Linked DNA regions of Ovis aries. The protein of the gene in region 3 interacts with the protein of the main gene of each other region in a pairwise test. Links are inferred from orthologs where the notes say so. Each region holds a gene or a part of one and is shown on either strand. Other genes may lie near its edges.

Region 1 (4,184 bases), on a different chromosome or scaffold from region 3:
TTCAGATTCGTACCTTTTACAGCAAAAGAGATACAGCCAATGCTTACTCTGCTGGACACTGAGAAAAGTGCTGAGCCCTACAGCTGAGGGACACATGACATCAAGGAACCCACATGCCATAATTTCTTCTACATCCAAATCATGAAAAATTCAAGCTTTGTGAGCATTCTTAGCTTGAAAAAATATTATAAAGGGAATCCTTGTGATGTGTGCATGTAGGTATGTGAGAGAAGAAGCGGAAGAGCCTACCATATGTTAAGTTCGAATTCAGATCTGGTCTTACTCTAGCTTGTACTTGCTTCTAAGTCCACAATACAAGCAGCTCATACAGCTCAATATCAGAGAAACAAATAGTCCAGTCAAACAAAATGCGCAGACTTAAACAGACATTTTTCCAAATAAGACATACAAATGGCCAATAAACACATGAAAAGATACTCTACATCTCTCATTATTAGAAAAATGTAAGTCAAAACTACAATGAGGCATCACTTCACACCAATCAGAATGGCTATCATCGAAAAAATGATAAGCAATAAATGCTGGAGAGGATATGCAGAAAACGGAACCTATGGCACTGTTGGTGGGAATATAAATTGGTATGGCTGCTATGGAGAACAGTATGGAGATTCCTTAACAAACTAGGAATAAAGCCCCCATATGACCCAGCAATCCCACTACCAGGTATACACTCTGAGAAAACCACAGTTCAAAAAGACAGATGCACGCCAGTGTTCATGGCAGCACTATTTACTGCGACTAGGACATGGAAGCAACCTTGACTTCCATTGACAGATGAGTGGATAAAGATACATACATTGATACACACATACATAAAGATACATACATGTACATGCATGTATGTAAAGATACATACATACATTGAGATAATACGTACAAATGGAATATTACCCAACCATAAAAAGGAAAAAAATGAGTCAGTTGTAGTGAGATGGATAAACCAATAGCCTATTATACAGAGGGAATCATTAATAAGTCAGAAAGAGAAAAACAAATACTGTATATTAATGCATATATATATATGGAATCTAAAAAAATAGTACTGATGAACCTATTTACAGAGAGGAAATGGAGATGCAGATGTAGAGAATGGTCTGGTGGACACAGCAAGGGGAAGGAAAGGGTAGGACAAGCTGAGAAAGTGACTTTGACATATACGTACTATCATGGGGAAAATAAATAGCTCATGGGAAGCTGCTGTATAACACAGGGAGCCCAGCCTTGTGCTCTGCGGTGACCTAGAGGGGTGGAATTGAGGCAAGAGAGGCTCAAGATAAAGGGGATATATATATATATTATATATATTATATATATATATAATTATGATTGGTTCATGTTGACATATGGCAGAGACTACCACAAGATTGTAAAGCAATTTCTTGCAAGGAAAAAAAAGTTCAAATTAAACTTACTTTGACCTAAAGTCATCAGCAGCCAGTTTGCAGTTGTCAAGCTGTACAGCAAGTCTACAATTTTCTGCCTTCGTACACAAGATCTGGGAAGAAAGTTACTATGTCATGAATGGTTCTTTGAAAGAAACCCACATATCTACTCATTTAATAACTATGCCAGGGTTTATCTTTTAAAAGTCTTTATAAGAAAATATAGGCCTTCAGCCTGCTTTTACTGACCATATCATTTCATGAAGGAAAAAGGAGGGCCAATTTATAAACAAAATAGAGAAATAAAAAGGTTGTTGTTTTTTTTTTAATGACTTAAAAACATTTTTGCAGTATTCCTTGGCCACTGAACTTAGGTAGATTTCTCTCTAGGAGTTTATATTATGACTACATCTCCACCCATGATAATAAAAATTTATCAGTAAGAAAAAGACATAATTACCAGGTAAAATTATATGGTTAAAAGATGACATTTCCATATCTATGTTAAATAATGTACTTGTACAGTGTTACACGCAGAAATAATTTTAGATATCACACTGCTTTTCCTCAAGGTAAATTTAGGGATAAGCGGGTTTATTGTGGTCATTTAGTAATTAGCGGCAGCATACAGGCTAGCGCTGATGTTTACTGACTTTTTCCCCCTCTATTCTTTTGGGCCATGCCGCATGGCACGTGGGGTCTTAGTCCCCCACCAGGGATGGAACCTAAGCCCGCTGCAGTGGAAGCACAGTGTCTGAACCATTGGACCACCGGTCACCCTGTTTGCTGGCTTTTTGTCCAGTACCCTTGCCTCTACATCACATTCCCCCTGGGAAGCCCCTCCCCTTTCCCTGGTTTCCCTCCACAGAACAGACTCTTGTAGTAGTAGAAACATAAAGCACATCACAGAGTGGGAAGGTGGAACATTAGGGTGATGGGATACTAGACCTTTTGCTGGAGATCTTCAATGGTGTCGAAGTAACACTGATAATCAGGGCACACCAACGGGACATCCTCTTCACTCTGTTCCCGGATCCTGCATTCCAACTCAGCATTCAACTCCTCCAGCCCGCGCACCTTCTCCAGATAGCTGGCGAGCCTGTCATTCAGGAACTGCATCGTCTCCTTCTCGTTACTGTTGAATGCACCGTCCTCACACCAGGCACAGTTCCCCAGCACGCCCGGAATATTACAGCTCCCCGCAAAGCAGGACGGTGGGAGGCACCCAGTTGGCAGACGAGACCCGGATAGAAAGCTGGGGGTCTGGCAGCTGGATGTAGCACAGGCGCTGGGGAGACAAGTGGTTGCCGCGGAACAGGTTGAGGCAAGCGCACAATCAGAAGCCCTGGCACTGGATTCAGAAGAGCAGCCCGTGGGGGAACAGTCAGAAGCCATTCTATCAGAAGTGAAGGGCAAAGACTAGTTGCAAAACTCCAACTGCCCGCCTCCAAAACTCTCATTCCCTCCCGAGACTTTTATATATACCCCACTTCAAATGGGTATTTACAGACTACACAGGATGTTTTCCGGTGCATTTTTCATATGAACATTCATTAGTGTTGTTTATTTGCTGAAGAAGAGTTTTATGCTTCGTAAAAGAGCCATAACTTCAGGTTTCTAAATAAAGACACCATCTCCATGTGCCAATAGGATAAAGCACTTGTTTCAGAAAATCTTCACAGGAAGCATTGTCCTTTTGACAGAATAAGGAAAGAAAGAGAAAATTTGGGCAATCAGTAATTATAGATACAACTGATTACACATAAAGGAAATCATATCCCTACAGATTTTGATCCTGTGCATTGAAAACTGCTCGTCTTCTTTTGAAATTAATGTTACAACTCATTTAAATGCTATTTATTTGTTTGTGCCCCCACCATAAAAGTGTTCTGTGTGATTAGCCATCTTCAATGCTTTTTGTGGTCTTGCTGTGCTCACATGGTGGAGGACTGAGTGTATACTGAATTTGAAGTGTGTGTGTGAGAACCATACATGCCCATGTGCAAACTGAAAAGTCACTTTACATAACTGATGGGCATCACTTTTGCCCTACATGCCAAAATATAAATTGGTTATCAAAACGTGGAGTTGTAATCTTTGATTTCCTGAAACTTGCCTTCTCTACTTTTCCTATGCTTCACTTTTATATCAGAGATACTGATTTTTCATCTGTATCTCTAATAAGAATGAAATATGAATTCTGTTATAATTTTTTAGTCTCAGGAAGCTAAACCTTCGTTAACTACACTTCAGTATAGAAGGAAGAAAGTTACAAAAGGCATTTCTTCTGGGACATGGAAGCTGTTTTCTCAGATTTACTAATTTATTTAATTTTGAAGGCCTCAATTTCATGAAAATTAAATATGCTGGAACTTGGGAATAAAAGTCTTTTGTATGAGTTCCAGCAATTCCATTGGATGAACTCCCTGGGGCAGTACTGAATGGATAGGGATCTGAGATGTAAGTTTTCTGGGTTCTTTCTTAAGTTTTATCTCCAATTTTCAGTTTTCTTGCCTTTGATTGTGGTATTTATTTCATTTTAAAAAGTGTACAGAGAAAATTGTCTGCAGAATGTTAAAGATCTTTATGGGGTGGGTAGCCCATTACTCCGACAAAGTTAAAATTTTCATGATCCAGAATAAACAATTATTTTTTAACTCTGAGTACTTCTTCCTTAAATAGCTGATAATGGGAAAACAACCAACCAACCAAAACCAAACCTGGAGACTTAAGATAGAGGATTAAAATAGTCTCTTAGAATTTATTATTCATTGAGCAAAG
Region 2 (4,036 bases), on a different chromosome or scaffold from region 3:
CCAGGTTGCTCGTAGCAGGAGTTCCTTCATTTTCTCTGCAGTGTGGTATTCCACTACATGTACACACAACTGATTTAGCCATTCTACTGATGGTGGACATGCTACTAGATTCCACATTTTTGTTATAGTGTGGGGATATAACAAAAAAAATGCTGCTATGAACATTTTTATATAAGTCTTCGGTACACACGTGGATGCATTTTTGTTGAGTATATATGTGGTAGAGGTATTATTGGATCCTTGAATATATGTATGCTTACGTTTAAGAAATTCGAAACTTGGGTTGTTCCTATTCACACTCCCACTACCACCATAAACAAGCTGTTATTCCTTGACAACACTTGGTAACAATCTTTTTCATCTTTGCCATTCTGGTGGGTGTGAAAAGCAGTGTTTTGTTTTGAAATTGTGATTGTAACTAACATAAAACTTTCCACTTTAGTACTTTAAGTGTGTATCTCTGTAGTGTTAAGTAATTTCTTGTTATTGGAAAACAGATCTCCAGAACTTTTCATCTTGCAAAACTGAAACTCAGTAGCTTCTAAACAACTCTTTCCCTCTCCTCGCCCCAGCTTCTGGCAAGTACCATTCTACTTTCTGTTAGTATGAATTTAGTTACTTTATATACTTCAGATCAGTGGAACCATACAGCATTTTTTTGTGTGACTGGCTTAGCGTCAAGGTTCATCGGCGCTGTGGCCTGCTACAGGACTTTCTTCTTTTGAGGGCAGAATCACATTCCATTACATGATCATACCACACTCTGTTTACCCATCATCCATCGATGGGCATCTGGCGGCTTCCATATCTTGTCTACCGTGCATAGTGCTGCTATGAACATGGGGTGTGACTCCCTCTTCAAGATCCTGCTTTCCACTCTTCTTGGTAAACACCCAGAAGTGGAACTGCTGGATCACATAGTAGTTCTATTTTAATTTTTTGAAGAATCTCCATACTGTTTTCCATTGTGGTTTCACCACTTTACAATCCCATCAACAGTACACAAAGGGTTTGGTTTCCAAGTTATATGCTTTTATCTTGCCCTTATCTGATGACTAATGATGCTGTGTTCTTGTTCATGTTTTTGGCCATTTAGATCTCAGTTTTTATTAGGTGGCTGTTCTAGTCTTTTGCCCACTTTTCTAACAGATTGTCAGAGAGTTTTTTATATGTTCAAAATTTTAACTCTTTATTGGTTATATTTGTTGCAAGTATCTTCTACTCTATGGCTTCCTATTAACTTAATGATGTGATTTGATTAATAGAAGTTCGTATTTCCTAATGTAATTCAGTTTATTTTTCCTTTATGCTTAGTGTGTTGCTTGTCTGTTTAAAAACTCTAATCTACTTTAAGACCATGAAATACATTTGTTTTCTGAAATTACTTCTTTACCCATGAATATCCAATTAACCTGCCATGATTTGCTGAAAAGGCCACTATTTCAATCCCATCTTCAAGAATGAAATGACCATATGTGTGTGGGCCTGTTACTGGACTCTTTATGCCATTCTGTTAATTTATATGTCTCTTTTTGGACCAATACCACACTGCCATAACTGCTACAGCTTTAAGATAAGTCTTGATATTCAGAGTAAGCCCTTCCCCTTAAAAAATTGTCTTTGCAATTTCTCACCCTGATCCTTTGCATTTCCATATAATAATGCAGAATGCTTATTTCTACAAAAACATTGTAGGGATTATAAGTGGGAATGCAATGGATCTATGGGTCAATTTTGGAAGAACTGTCATTTTACAGCATTGAGTTTTTCATTTAAGTACCGAATTCTTGATCTTTTTTTTACATCCCTTGTGGGTTTTAGTCCCTCCCTTGCTCCCTTTTCACGACCTAATCAAAGGATCAGGGCCCCTTTCTTCTCACCTGACTTGGGGTCACCAGGCTTTCCATTGGCCATGGGGGGAGGGCCCAGAAGGCTGGGTGGTCCTAAGAGTAGACATGAAAATATGGTCATCAGAATGGACTAAAAAACTGATGATCCTGTTCTTATATGCTTTCCTTCTACTACTCATTTCTTAATCTAACCAGTAAAGCCAGGTATATTCTCAACAGTGTTATGGGTTCTGACGCCCATCTATTTCCAAAGCATTTTCAGGATTTGCAAAGTGGAGACTCAGCCCTGTCACGGCGTATAATGAGAAAACGATACCTACAAACTTTCTCTCTCCCTTACATTGTTGCTATCCAATAGATCCCAAGTGACTCCTGAGATAAAACCAATCCCTCTCTTTAACTGCTGGCCAGTCAGATACCTCTCCTTTAACCCTATCCGCAAGGAGTTCACAGAAAGCTCTACTTCCACCTTCCCCATGCAAGTGTGGTCACAAACTGTCATCCCAGTCATCGCAATCTGCAACTTCTCTAGGGCCCCTCTCCCTCTGACGTTTTGCGGCTGCGCACATAAGTTCTTTATCTCCTCTCCCTTCTTTACAAAGGGTTAGAGGCCAGTTTGAAGTTGAGGATTCAAGAAAGAGAACTCATTTAGTGTTCCATCCCACACAGGCTCCCCCCCCCCGGCCCCCGCCCCAGCGCGTGCGCCCTTCCTCCCGTTAGACCCCTCTCCCCCGCATATTTTCAGCCTCTAACCCTTCGCCTCGACAGGCTGACAGGCATGTGCGCACCCCTCCGGGGCTCCTCACCGATGGGGCTCCCATCCTCCTCGTCTCCAGTCTCATCCCGCTCTGGCAGTGGGGGCTGCTGCTGCAGTTGCTGCTGCTGATTCTGCTTCTTTCGTTTCGGCATCGTGGTTGCGGCAATGGCTGCAGCGGGATTTGGAGGGCAGTGAGGAAGGGGCACGCTGGGATTCTGTTTCCGCTTCCGGGGGGGGCGGTGGACACTGAGGCTGAGGCTCCCGCCATTTCACTTCCGGAAGGCTGCGGAGAATCTTTGTGCGGTTCTTCTCGCATCAGCCGCCTCCCGCAGTCTCTGCCAGGCAGGGCAGCAATCTCAAACCTTTCCTTTGCTGCGTTGCTATAAACGCTTTGAAAAAGTTGCTCGCTCCTCCCCTCGCTGAAAGAAAATCCACAACCGGCTGCTCCTCACAGCCTGCCATAGAGTCGACTCTCGGGCCAGAAGGCCTGATAAGAGAAGGCTGTCGCATCTTGAGATCGCCATATCCGGTCCCCGGTTTCTATGGTAACAGCTGCAGGCACAACTTGGTGCCCTATGACCTCCCTCCCAAAATCCTTGTCCCACCTGGGTTTCTCTCCTCGGCGGCGCTTGCATTTATGATCTGTAAGCCTGCTCCTTATCATCATTCCCACAAGGAATTTGGGTCCCAGCAGGGCGCTGCCCAGGGCTCTCCAGACCGCCACCCACCCTTCAAGACCTCTGACCCGGCCCCCAGTGTAGTTCAGTAACTCTGCTTCCTTCCCGGGATGCGCAGTCGCGCCTTTCCTCTAAGGCCCAGCTGGAGGATTGGTAAAGTAGCTTATGCGCGTCCACGCCCCTTTCTCCCCAGGTGGTAGGACCCGCCCTCCGCTCCACCGCCCCCTCCAGGTGAGTGGTAGCTTCTCCCCGGCGCGCAAGGTAGTGATGACACGCGTCCCCCCTCCTCTGAAGGCGAGTTGGTAGCGTCCGTGACGAAGTTAGCCCGATCCTCCCACGCGCGCCTCCTTCCTCGCCGCCGCAGCGCCCTCTCCGTGCCACTGGCTCTCACGTGCGGGTAGCCTACCCTGCATCATCCTCTCGCCTCGCTCTCACTGGGAAGTGACTGTATTTCCCCGTTGTCTTCCACCCGGGCCGCCCGGGCGCAGCGGCCGGGCCCGCCCGCTGACGTCACCTTCAGCCCCGCCCCCTCCAGGGTCCCGGGCCCTTGCGGCGGGGGCTGCCCCGGGGGGAGTCAGTTGAGGCGGCGGGAGCTCGGCGGAGGGCGGGCCAGGTGACTGGTCCGGGCCATGCCGAGGAAGAAGCCTTTCAGCGTGAAGCAGAAGAAAAAGCAGTTGCAGGACAAGCGGGAGCGGAAGAGAGGTCAGTGCAGGAGCCAGAGGAGGGGGCGGGGCTCGGACTCCCGCACATCT
Region 3 (2,881 bases):
TGCCCTGGGGCACACAGATGCCTACAGAGGGGTGGGGCTGAGGGAAGTTCAGGGTCTATCTCCTCCCAGCAGACCCCCGGGGGCTCTGCTCACCTCTTGGGACAGGTAGGGCAGGACCTGGGCACATATCCCATTTAGCCTCTTGACGATTTCAGCCTGGAACAGACAGACACTTCAGCCCTGGGCAGCAGCCAGCCAGGGCAGGTGCAGACCAGCCCTGGAAAGCCCAGCGGTTCTGTCTAATCCAAGAGGAGGCCGGCAAGTCCCAGGATCATATCGACTCATCAGGCCCATGGGCACCCGATCAGCAGCAAAAGTGGCCCCGGGGGCTGAGTCTCTGAGGGTAGCTAAGAGCCCAGGACAGAGCGAAATCCAGGCCCAGTGGCTTGGGGTCTGGGTGGCCCTGGAAAGATGCCCGATGCCTCACAGGTAGTGAGCATTCCGTGAGAGGGAGGGAGGAAGAGGTCGGGGCAGCTGGCATCAGAATTCTCTAACACACCTGAGATAGGGTTTGGAGGGTGGGTTGGCAGGTCATATCACCCCCCTCCCCCAGGGCTGTCACAAAAGAGAGACAATGGAGTGAGGGTGGCAGGTCCTGGGAAAGCCTCTGCCCTCCCCCTCAGGGAGAGCAACCTCCCAGGGAGGCCTGAGAAAGAACAGAAGTGGGGGGGCTCCGGAGGTAACAGGATACCAAGGCAGTCTTGGTTCTCAGCCAAGGGGTGGCGGGTTCCTACCTGCCTGGGCGGGGCAGGGGGGCGGAGGAGGGGGGAAGGGGGCATACCTGCTTGTGCATCTCGATGTTCAAGCCATAGGACATCTCGTAGTACTGTGTAGGGGGGAGACAGAAATGGGGGTGGGTGAAGGATGTGAGGTTCCAGAGACAAAAGACACAGGGGAAGTGACAGAGAGAGACAAAGAGGGGGAGAAAGAGAGAGGTAGGAGGAGGGGAGGGCAGGCGAGAGAGATGGAGTCGGAAGCGGGGAGACACCCACACCTGGAGCTGGGGCCCAGGTGCCTGGTGAGGATGCTAGGGACGCCAGTGGGGCCCTGAATGCCCCATTTCTGGAATAATGACCTCAACCCCTACACACACACACACACACACACACACGCACGCACGCACGCACACACACACGCACACACACACAGGCACACACACACTCCAAGGCTCCTAATCTTTTATCTTTATGTGTCTTGTCTGCGGGTGGCCCCGGACTCCAGGGAAGTTTGTCTTCCTGGGTATAAATAATCGAGGATAAACAAATCCTGTTGGGTCTGCCTTTGGGGCCAGCGCCCCCCCTCCTCATGCCCCACATCTGACCCTGCACCTCCCCTGCTCTAAACCTTCCTATGACTCCCCATCACCCCCCAGGGAAGATAGGGGGAGAAAGCCAGGTTTGTGTGGTCTCCCCTTCTCTGCCCAGCTGGCTCCTATCCATTCATCAGGACCCCAGCTGCAGTGCCTCCTTCTCCATGCAGTCTTTCTCCAAACAGGAGCATACCCTTCTGGAGTGCCCCAGCCCCATCCCTCTGAATCCAGAGGTTCCTTGTCCAGCTCTGCCTCCCCCATGGCCTGGGGGAAGTGGGCTCTGGGCTGGGCTTAGGCAGGGGTTTTGATGCAGAAATCACCACCTGGTGCATATGAAGCGAAGCAAGTGATTCCAGCAGTGTGCAGGGGCAGGGTCTCCAATGTCAGGCCCAAGAAGGAAGTGTCACCCCCTCCCTCCCTTCCACCCACCCACCTCAAAAGAGTGTCAGCCTCCTGCCTGGGGAAGGGGGCCCTCCAGGAGTCCTCCTCCAAGCTTGGACTAGGAGGGGTTAAGCCTGGGATGCTTAGACAGTGGGGGTGGGGAGGGGAGGGATCAACAACCCCCCTCTAACCCCAGTTCCTGGCTTTCACAGCCACTGGCTCCTCCGCTGCCAAGGACAGCCAGGGACCTGGCAGGCCCAGGCCGCAACCCGGTGGCTTGGCACCTCGGCCACTGCCTGGGCCGGCAGCCAGGCCAACAAGATTAACTCAGCCCGGCCAGGGGCTGGCTGAGCGGAGAGCAGACCCTGACTTCTCGCACATCCCAGAGGAGATGGCCAGGGTTCAGACAGCAGCTGCCAGTGCTGGAGGGGGACCTGGGGTCCTCTGGCCCTGCCCACCAGACCCCCGGGCTGGCTTACCATCACGTAATGACGCTGCATTTCTGACTTCTCGCTGGCCAGCTTGTCACATTCGAGTTTCAGACTGAAGAAGAAGAGGGGGAGGGCCAGGGCTGGGATGATGTCCCCCTCATTGTGCAAGGGAGCCCCAAACTTTGGTGGGGGTCAGAGAGAAGAGGGGGGAAGGGGACCCAAAGGTGCCTTAGCTGGAAACTGGGGATGATGAAACCCACCTTGAAGATGTGGGGGTGGAGAAAGCAATGAAAATAATAAAAACAGAAGTCAGAGCAAATATCCTGACTGTAGGTCAGACAGGGATTCAAAGAAACTTTTTCCTATCATGAAATCCAACGAGGTCAGGGCTGTTAACGTCAGTCTCCTTCATAAAAATGATGCAATGGATGCTCAGAGAGGTTGAGTGAACAGGCTCAAGGTCACACAGCCAGGAAGCTGGCTTCAAAGGCCATACTCCCACCCACTGGGCAAAACTCTCCAGCAAAGAAGGAATAAACAGACATTGCTGAGAGGTTACAAGGGCCCAGAGCCCACTGGCAGGGCTCTGGACTGAATTCAGTAAGGAATCTTCAAAGGCCCCCAGCCCATCTTGTGACCTCTGATTTCCATGGTTGGGGGAGGGGTATAAATTTCTATCACTGGATAATAGAGCTGGTGATCCCCCTCCTCTCTTGGGTTGCCCCAGCAAGGATGAGCTTTGGATATTTCTCAAAGGCCC
Region 4 (4,114 bases), on a different chromosome or scaffold from region 3:
TTTTAGGATATCTTAAATATGCTTGAAAAAAAGTTGTGTTTAAAAATAAGCGTGCTTTTGTTTGTAGTCCCTTAAAGAATTACAGTGGACCCTTGAACAACACTGGAGTTAGAGGCACTGGACCCCAGGAAGTTGAAAACTTGTGTATAACCTTATATTCCTCCCGCAGTATTCATGGTTTCACATTTTAGGATTCAACCAACCTTGACTGTATAATACTGTAGTATTTATTTAGAGGAAAAAAATTATCTGTTGTAAAAGTAGATCTCTGCAGTTCAGACTCATGGTGTTCAAGGGTCCACTGTAAATGAGTAACTTTAGACTGCTGCACTTATATAATTTTTATTAAGCAACTGTACTAATCCTAACTTTGGATGGGAGAGCACTAACTTTGGAGAGGTGTTCATACAGTGTTAGGAAATCTCCCCAGTTAGCTGCTCACTGGGAAGGAGTCTTCCAGGAAAAGGATTTCTCATAAATCCAAGTACCTTCTGTTGGTTTATATTTTAGGTCAGTTCAAGGATATATACAAAAAGAGATTTAAGTTGTCCTGTGACAATGGACCAAATGATCTATCTGATGGGTATTTTAGCCAATATTCAGGTTACACAATAATTTTTTTAAAAACAACAATTTTTAATGCAATTTGAAAAGGAACAGTATACATTATATAACTTGGAAAGTGTACATGCCTAGATGGTGAAGACTTGAGTGCGTAACATCAAAACACAATAGTCCTTAGTAATGTCACAGCATTAATCCAGTTCCTGAATCTTCATATATTCACTCTAAATATATTCTCTCCACTTACCACTTTATGAGGTCTTGCAAACCTAAGCCAGGAAGGACTTCACAGCCCTCACAGGACTTGAAAGAATTTTACAAACCTGAGGTCTTTATATAAACATACACCCTATCTGTAAGGCCATGCCTGACAATCTTACTGAAAACTGTGAACTGCACAAAACTCCGATTCACTTGTCTTCACAGCACTAAAAATACTACACACACACACACACACACACACACACAAATATATACAGTGATTACTGTCTTCCCCTACTTGAATATAAGCACCACAAAAGGAAAGATTTTAATGATTTTGTTCCTAGGGTGTCCCCATTACCTAGAACAGTGCCTGGCACACTGTAGGCACTCAGTAAGTGTTTACTGAACAAAAGAAAGGGTATCAGATGTGTGCAAGTAAATAAAAGCTGATCCCTACCATATGAATGAACGAGTCTCTTCTATCCACTTACAGCCTGGATTCAAGGTTAAAATAGGATTTTTGGACGAAGTGGAAGAGTAGTATTGATCTCTACACTACCATGTGTAAAACAGCTAGCTAGTGGGAAGCTAAGGTATGGCACAGAGAACGGCTGAGCGTTCTGTGATGACCTAGCAGAGTGGGAGGGAGGCTCAAGAAGGAGGGAATACATGTATACTTACAGCTGATTCACAATGTCATAGAGAAGAAACTAACACAAAATTGTAATTTACTATAATTTTTAAAACTTAAAATTTTTTCATTATGATTTTTTAAGGAAATAGAGGCCTCAATAAAATCCTCAAGCTGCCTACCCAACATTTTCTCAGCAAAATGAAAAAAGAAAAAAGCAACAACCAAAAGAAGTATTTTTAATAAGTTGGTTCTAGTTCTGGAGAGAGGACAAGTTAATTAATCTCACATGACTCTTAAGAAAAACAGGAAAGTTCAATACTTAACTAGTAACCAGTAAAAAAAAAAAAAAAAAAAAATCAAAGCAGCCTGTTTTTCTACACCCAAAATGGGATCCCATCACTTAGGAACACAGAGCTCAGCAGAGTACGTCTTAGCAATTCTGGCCTCAGCCCTACATCCTCAAGATCCAACTCCAAAGTCCCTTTTTCCTTTCCCTCCATCCTGGAAGCCTTCCTAGAACCATTTTACACACACAAGCAACCTTCAGACCTCCCAGTTCTAAGCCCTGACCCAACCCAGGTACATCCCAGCGTTTCCCAAGGCCAGCAGAAAGACCCACCCACCTCGCGCCCCGGGGATCCCCCGTAAACTACCAGCCCTACTAATCCAGAGTCAGGGAGCACGAAAGAATCCAGACAGCAGGACTTCCCAGCCTGGCCAAAATTGGAGGACATTTTAGACCTTTATCCCAGTTCTGCCAATTTCAGTGTGACCTTGAACACGTCCCTGCTAGGGGGTCCCCGTTTTCTCACGTTACAGGCGAAGATAACACCTGCAGCTGCTGTAAGGATTACAGGAGATCACACGTGAAGCACCTAACGGGACACCTGGCACGAAATGGGAACTCCACCATCAGGACCGTGGGTCATTCCTCAGGGTCCTTGCAGCCTCCCAGCTGAAAGGCATCTCGCCCAACAACCCAATCTCCGGGTTTCAGAGGGGGGCACTAAGGTCGGGCAGTAGAAGCGTGCTGGACGCCAGTCCCAGGACCTCGCGACGCCCCCGCCCGAGCCCCCTCGCCGGGACGCCGCCGTTGCCGCGGGGCGAAGCGGTACCCACTGCCTTCCCTCGGTCCCCAGGTTCCGCGCGGCCCGGGCGCGGCCGCTCCACCTGCCGCCAGGCCCCGCCACCCGCTGCCCGCTCGCGGCCCGGCACACCCGGACTCCGGGGCTCGGCCTCCCGCGAGGCGCGGCGTACTCAACTCTTCACTTTGCCGAAGGTGCCGACGCCCAGCGTGTCGCCCAGCACGTAGTGGCCGATCTTCACCCGCCCGTCGTGCTTCTGCTTCTCAGCCATGTTCGGCGCGCGCAGCCTCGCTCCGCCGCCGCGGGATCCTCTGCGCGGCCACCGCCGCCGCCTACCCACAGTGCAGCGGGCCCGCGGGGGGCGGGGGCCCGAGACTTGGGGACCAGGCGAGACGGGGCGGGGCGGGGCGGGGCGGGGGGAGGGGGGACGCGAGCAGGTGGGGGGCAGGGGCGGGGGCGCGCCGAGGCCCCTGGGCGGGCGTGAGGCCGGCGTGGGCCCGGGGCCAGGGCCCTGGGGGCGCAGTGGAGGGAGCGTGGGCGCTCGGTGCGGGGGAGGTCGGAGGCCGACAGGTGTGCGCGGAGCGGGGAGGGGGAAGGATGTCGCCTCGCTACCTGGAGGAGGGGCCCTGGGGTGGGAGCCGGGTTAAGGGGCCCTCTAGCAGAACCTGACGGTGCGAATGAGAGGGTGAGATTTGGGCCGAATCTTGGCGAGTGGAAAGCAATGGAAGTATTAATAGAACCTGGGGAAGAGAAACAGGCCTGAAGTGTGGGGAGAGAGGGGCGTGAAAAGCAGTGTGTGGGTCCGAGGGAAGTCAGGGCTGGCGGCAGTGGGGAAGGGCCTTGATCGAAGGTCAGTCGGAGGAGAGTCACAAGGAAGCTTTTGGAGTCACGCACTGTTTTCATACAGGTCACCAGGGCACAAACAAAAAAAGCCAACTCTGCTGGCTTCACTGATTCTCCTCTACGTTCTGTCTAATTCTCAGTTATGGAGGAGATACCCTCTCTAGAGCTCTCCGTTCTAACTAATTTGCACAAAGTTCACCAATCAGTCCCAATATTTGCTCAACTGTATTTTAGACATATAAATATATGGGCTTTCTAGGAGGCTCAGTGGTAAAGAATCCGCCTAGGAGACAAGGGTTTGATCCCTGGGTTGAGAAGATCCCAGGGAAAAGGAAATGGCAATCCACTCCGATAGTGTTGCCTGGGAATTCCCATAGACAGAGAAGCCTGGCGGGCTGCAGTCCATGGGGTCGCAAAAGAGTTAGACACAACTAATCAAGTATATATAGCAAAGAAATTGTGATAGAGCTGCACAAGAGGGAAATAGTGGAAGAAACTGAAGCGGGAAACTGAACGTAGTGAGCTTGGGGAGTAAGCTACCTAAGGGACAAGGGCAATGTAAGGGCACAAATTAAAGGTAAAGATTGAAGGGGGAGTGAGGAAACGGCAAGAGGAAACTAGAAGCAGGCAGAGCCTTAAAAACTGCCAAGATACAGTAAGTACAGTGATTACTCCTCCCGCCCTCCCTTCTCCTCTCCTTTCTTCTTTCCTTCCTTCAGTCTCCTAGTTTCCAGTGTTGCCTGTCAGTGCTTAAAAATCATTTGCCTATTGGGAATAAATGTTT
Region 5 (4,010 bases), on a different chromosome or scaffold from region 3:
TCGTGAAGACCTTTTTTGCATAGTCCTTCTGTGTATTCTTGCCACCTCTTCTTAATATCTCCTGCTTCTGTTAGGTCCATACCATTTCTGTCCTTTATTGAGCCCATCTTTGCATGAAATGTTCCCTTAGTATCTCTAATTTTCTTGAAGAGACCTCTGGTCTTTCTCATTCTATTGTTTTCCTCTTTTTCTTTGCACTGATCACTGAGGAAGGCTTTCTTATCTCTCCTTTTATTCTTTGGAACTCTGCATCCAAATGGGTATATCTTTCCTTTTCTCCTTTGCCTTTGATCACTTGACAGTGATTAAGACCATCCCCAACCAAAAGAAATGCAAAAAGGCAAAAATGGTTATCTGAGGAGACTTTACAAATAGGTGAGAAAAGAAAAGAAGCTAAAGGCAAAGGAGAAAAATGGTACTTGTCTTGAGTAAACTCAGGAAAGAGATTTACGAGTTGAGGCAGGACACCTGTTTACCAGTCCTCTTAGGGTTTTGCTCCATTCCCTCTTTCCTGGATGGAACTGAGCTGGGGTGGGGATAGTATCCCCTGGGGAGATGCCTTCAGTTCCTGGTCCCTCTTGCCCCAGCCACCACTGTTCTCCTGCTCCTATGGGCCTCATCAGTCTGTTTCTGGTGGGGGATAAGTAGTTGACTGGTGCTGACTGGTGCCCACTTCCTCTATTGCTAATGTCCACTAAGACTGCAGGCTCTTTCTCCCCTACTGTCCTGAGGGTTTGTTCACAAGGCGTCTCTTTTGTTCTGTCCCTCCTCGGTCAGGCTTTGAAACCTTGAGTAGAATGAGTGATGTCTAAATTGACACTGCACCCCCTTGGAGCCCCCAGAATCTCCTCCTCAGTGTTGGCACGTCTCTCCAACAGCACTTACCCTGGACTCTCCGATCCAGACCCAGGAGGGTTTCTGCTGCTCCCCAAGTCACCCTCAACCTGCATGGGCAGGGGGAGGAACCCAGGGCCCACTCAGGATCTGAGCCTTCTGCACCCACACCCGCCTCCATGTCAGCCTTGAAGGGCCGTCCACTGCAGGGAGAGTGAGCCTGGGGTAGGAAGGGACATAGAATGTGTGAATGGCACCAGCTTTCAGATCCTGTTGTTTCTCAGCTGCTTTGAACTCGGATGGGAGAATGTGTCTTTACTGCCTGGCTTCTGCCAGCAGAGCACCTACAGGCCATATTTGGAGGGGCTGAGGGGGCCCAAGGGAGGAGGCCAAAACAGACATGGGTCCATATTTCCTGACACAAACGCTTTATTCATTAGAGCAGCTGATGTTTGTCATATGGGATTCAAGCAGCCTGTCCTGCAGAGGAGGCTCCTGGGGCCCCACAGTCCACCCTGTCAAGGGCTTTCTGAGATGCCTGCCAAGTTCGAATCCTCTCTGGGCAGCAGCTGCGTGTCCAACTTTGGGAGAGGGGAGGTCCTGGCGCCAGCAGAGGGGCTCCTGGAGCTTGGGAGAGAGACAGCAGCTTGTGGAGGGCGGGTGATTGGCCGGTCAGCAGCAGAGCTCCGGGGCTGAGGTGGGGATGCCGCAGGCCAGGCGGGAGCATGCAGGCCGGCAGAGCAGGGACACAGAGGAGGCTGGGCGGCAGCAGCTTGGCTGGCAGGAGGAGGTGGGCACACAGCAGGCGAGGCGGCACGCAGGGCGGCAGAGGAGGGACACAGAGGAGGCCGGGCGGCAGAAGCTGGGCTTGCAAGAGGAGGCGGGCACACAGCAGGTGGGGCCGCACACGGGGCGGCACACAGGACGGCAGAGGAGGGACACGGAAGAGGAGGGTCTGCAGCAGGATGAGGGGGCTGAGCAGGGGGAGGTCTCACAGCACACGGGCCTGCAGCAAACAGGTGTACAGCAGACAGGCCTGCAGCAGACGGGCTCACAGCAGGCCTGCTGGCAGCAGGAGGAGGTGCAGCAGGAGGGCTGGCAGCTGGACTGCTGGCAACATGAGGAGGTTGAGAAGGGGGAGGCCTCACAGCAGACAGGCCTGCAGCAGACAGGTGTGCAGCAGACAGGTGTACAGCAGACAGGCCTGCAGCAGACGGGCCTGCAGCAGACAGGCTCACAGCAGACAGGTTCACAGCAGGCCTGCTGGCAGCGGGAGGAGGTGCAGCAGGAGGACTGGCAGCTGGACTGCTGGCCACATGAGGCTGGGCAGGAGCTGCTGCAGGCTGGCTGGCAGCAGGGGCTGGACTCACAACTCACTGGGGCGCAGAGGAGGGTCAGGCGGGGGGCCGAGGTGCAGCAGCTGGGGGCACAGCAGGGGGGCTCGCAGCAGCTCTCTGGACAGTCATCCACCTGCCAGGAGGAGCCGGTGCAGGAGTCACAGGATCCAGGCAGGCAGATCCGGCTGCTGTAGCTCAGGTCGCTGGAGCAAGCAGACAGGTTAGAGAAGGCCATGGTGGAGGTGGTACGGCTGGAGGAGGTGTAAGTGTGTGTGAGTGTGTGAGTGAAGTGCTGAGGGTGTCTGCTTTTATACCCGCCCTGAGTATGCGCGTGGCCCTGGTCGGAGGCTCCCACGCTCTCCCTTCCTTGTTGCTGTTTGGAGCTGACCCTCATTAGGGCTGCTGTGTTTTCTACAATTAGCTTTTACTCATTAAACATGTGAGTACGTTGCAAGAGTCTGTTTTCCCATCTGTTCTTTGTTTGGCTCCAGAAAACTTGTGGAGGATGCAAGACGCAAGTTTCTGCTGAATGCCTGCCAGGGTTCTTAAGTCACGTTCACGGAGGGAGGGGCTGAGCGTGAGACAAGTTCCCAGCCACTGCAGCCGCTCCCACTTCACGCCAGCCTTGACAGTGTGAGAATACATAGGGAAAGATGCCTAGCTTTACCGCAGCCCAAACTATACCTAAGAGCATTACTAAGAAGATAAGTTGCGAGCGAAATAGAAAACTTGACCAAAGAACACACACAACATATATCCACTGGGACCCGAGAGGTGTAAGCAAGAAACTCAGAGCTATAGACTGAATTACCACTCTTTCTGGATCAATCCATCCCTGATGTAACTTCAATCAGAACCCAAAAGAAATATTTTTGGCATATAAAGTGAAGATATTGAACTGCTAGAAAATATTTGCAATGTAAAAGTTGAAAGCCTTTACAACTAAAGCAGGATATGATACAATAGAATCAAACACAAGCACACAGTCCATTCAAATTTCCAATCAACATTTGAAAAGCTACTGGATATCACTGATAATTAAAAGGCTCTAAATTAAAACACAAATATCCCACCTGCAAGATCAGCCAAGATTTACAACACTGGTAACACCCAGTGCTGCACAGTCTGAGGTCCTCACTCTTCTTTAAAAATTAGTTAACTTTTCGCTGAGCTGGGTCTTTGTTGCTACATGTAGGCTTTCCCTGGTTGTGGCAAACGGGGCTTACTTTTTGTTGCAGTGGGCAGGCTGCTCTTGGCAATGGCTTATCTTATTGAGGAGCACTGGCTTTAGGACATATGGGCTTTGGTAGTTGTGGCACGTGGGCTAGTCCCAGACCAGGGATTAAATTTATGTTCTTTGCATTGGCAAGTGGATTGTTAACCACTGGATCACCAGGGAAGCTCTAGGGGCCTCCCTGTTAGAAATCCTTAACAGGTACGTTTTTTTTTTTATTACATGTAACAAATAATATAAAATTAACCATTTTAAAGTGTTCGATTCAGGGACATTTAGTACAGTCACAACACTGTACAACTATGACCACTATCTAGTCCCGGGACATTCCCAAAAGGAAATCTTGTAGTATTGGGTAGACCCTCCCCAGTCCCTGTCAAGCACCGCTCTGCTTTCTGTCTCTATGACTTTGGCTGTTCTGCTCATTTCATGTAAAAGGAATCACACAATAGGTGGCCTTTTGTGTCTGACTCCAACTTGGCATACATGTGGCATACATGTGTGCTTGATCCTTTTTTATGACAGGATAACATTCCTCATAGAAATAGACAACATTTTATTTACCCATAAGTCGATGAACATTTGGGCCATTTATACCTCTTGGT

The links.
Region 1: the proteins of TLE5 (region 3) and KRT40 interact in binary tests that used the Homo sapiens proteins (3 or more experiments, as listed by UniProt). The two-hybrid records come from large-scale screens. The link is inferred for Ovis aries from reciprocal best matches to the Homo sapiens genes TLE5 and KRT40.
Region 2: the proteins of TLE5 (region 3) and PRR3 interact in binary tests that used the Homo sapiens proteins (3 or more experiments, as listed by UniProt). The two-hybrid records come from large-scale screens. The link is inferred for Ovis aries from reciprocal best matches to the Homo sapiens genes TLE5 and PRR3.
Region 4: the proteins of TLE5 (region 3) and PRKAA2 interact in binary tests that used the Homo sapiens proteins (3 or more experiments, as listed by UniProt). The two-hybrid records come from large-scale screens. The link is inferred for Ovis aries from reciprocal best matches to the Homo sapiens genes TLE5 and PRKAA2.
Region 5: the proteins of TLE5 (region 3) and keratin-associated protein 10-12-like interact in binary tests that used the Homo sapiens proteins (3 or more experiments, as listed by UniProt). The two-hybrid records come from large-scale screens. The link is inferred for Ovis aries from reciprocal best matches to the Homo sapiens genes TLE5 and KRTAP10-7.

Annotation. Positions count from the first base shown.
Region 1 is NC_056064.1:40,929,765-40,933,948, forward strand, and holds the start of KRT40 (keratin, type I cytoskeletal 40), read right to left. Parts: upstream 2,801-4,184; 5' UTR 2,799-2,800; coding exon 2,352-2,798; intron 1,517-2,351; coding exon 1,434-1,516; intron 14-1,433; coding exon 1-13. UniProt on the Homo sapiens protein: May play a role in late hair differentiation.
Region 2 is NC_056073.1:27,533,105-27,537,140, forward strand, and holds the start of PRR3 (proline-rich protein 3), read right to left. Parts: upstream 2,801-4,036; 5' UTR 2,760-2,800; coding exon 2,657-2,759; intron 1,944-2,656; coding exon 1,881-1,943; intron 1-1,880. Other genes in the region: GNL1 (guanine nucleotide-binding protein-like 1), read left to right, coding at 3,914-3,986.
Region 3 is NC_056058.1:18,528,392-18,531,272, reverse strand, and holds part of TLE5 (TLE family member 5), read right to left. Parts: intron 2,234-2,881; coding exon 2,170-2,233; intron 827-2,169; coding exon 782-826; intron 157-781; coding exon 94-156; intron 1-93. UniProt on the Homo sapiens protein: Transcriptional corepressor. Acts as a dominant repressor towards other family members. Inhibits NF-kappa-B-regulated gene expression. May be required for the initiation and maintenance of the differentiated state.
Region 4 is NC_056054.1:31,181,397-31,185,510, reverse strand, and holds the start of PRKAA2 (5'-AMP-activated protein kinase catalytic subunit alpha-2), read right to left. Parts: upstream 2,801-4,114; 5' UTR 2,759-2,800; coding exon 2,665-2,758; intron 1-2,664. UniProt on the Homo sapiens protein: Catalytic subunit of AMP-activated protein kinase (AMPK), an energy sensor protein kinase that plays a key role in regulating cellular energy metabolism.
Region 5 is NC_056054.1:262,544,338-262,548,347, reverse strand, and holds keratin-associated protein 10-12-like, read right to left. Parts: upstream 2,557-4,010; 5' UTR 2,407-2,556; coding exon 1,507-2,406; 3' UTR 501-1,506; downstream 1-500. UniProt on the Homo sapiens protein: In the hair cortex, hair keratin intermediate filaments are embedded in an interfilamentous matrix, consisting of hair keratin-associated proteins (KRTAP), which are essential for the formation of a rigid and resistant hair shaft through their extensive disulfide bond cross-linking with abundant cysteine residues of hair keratins.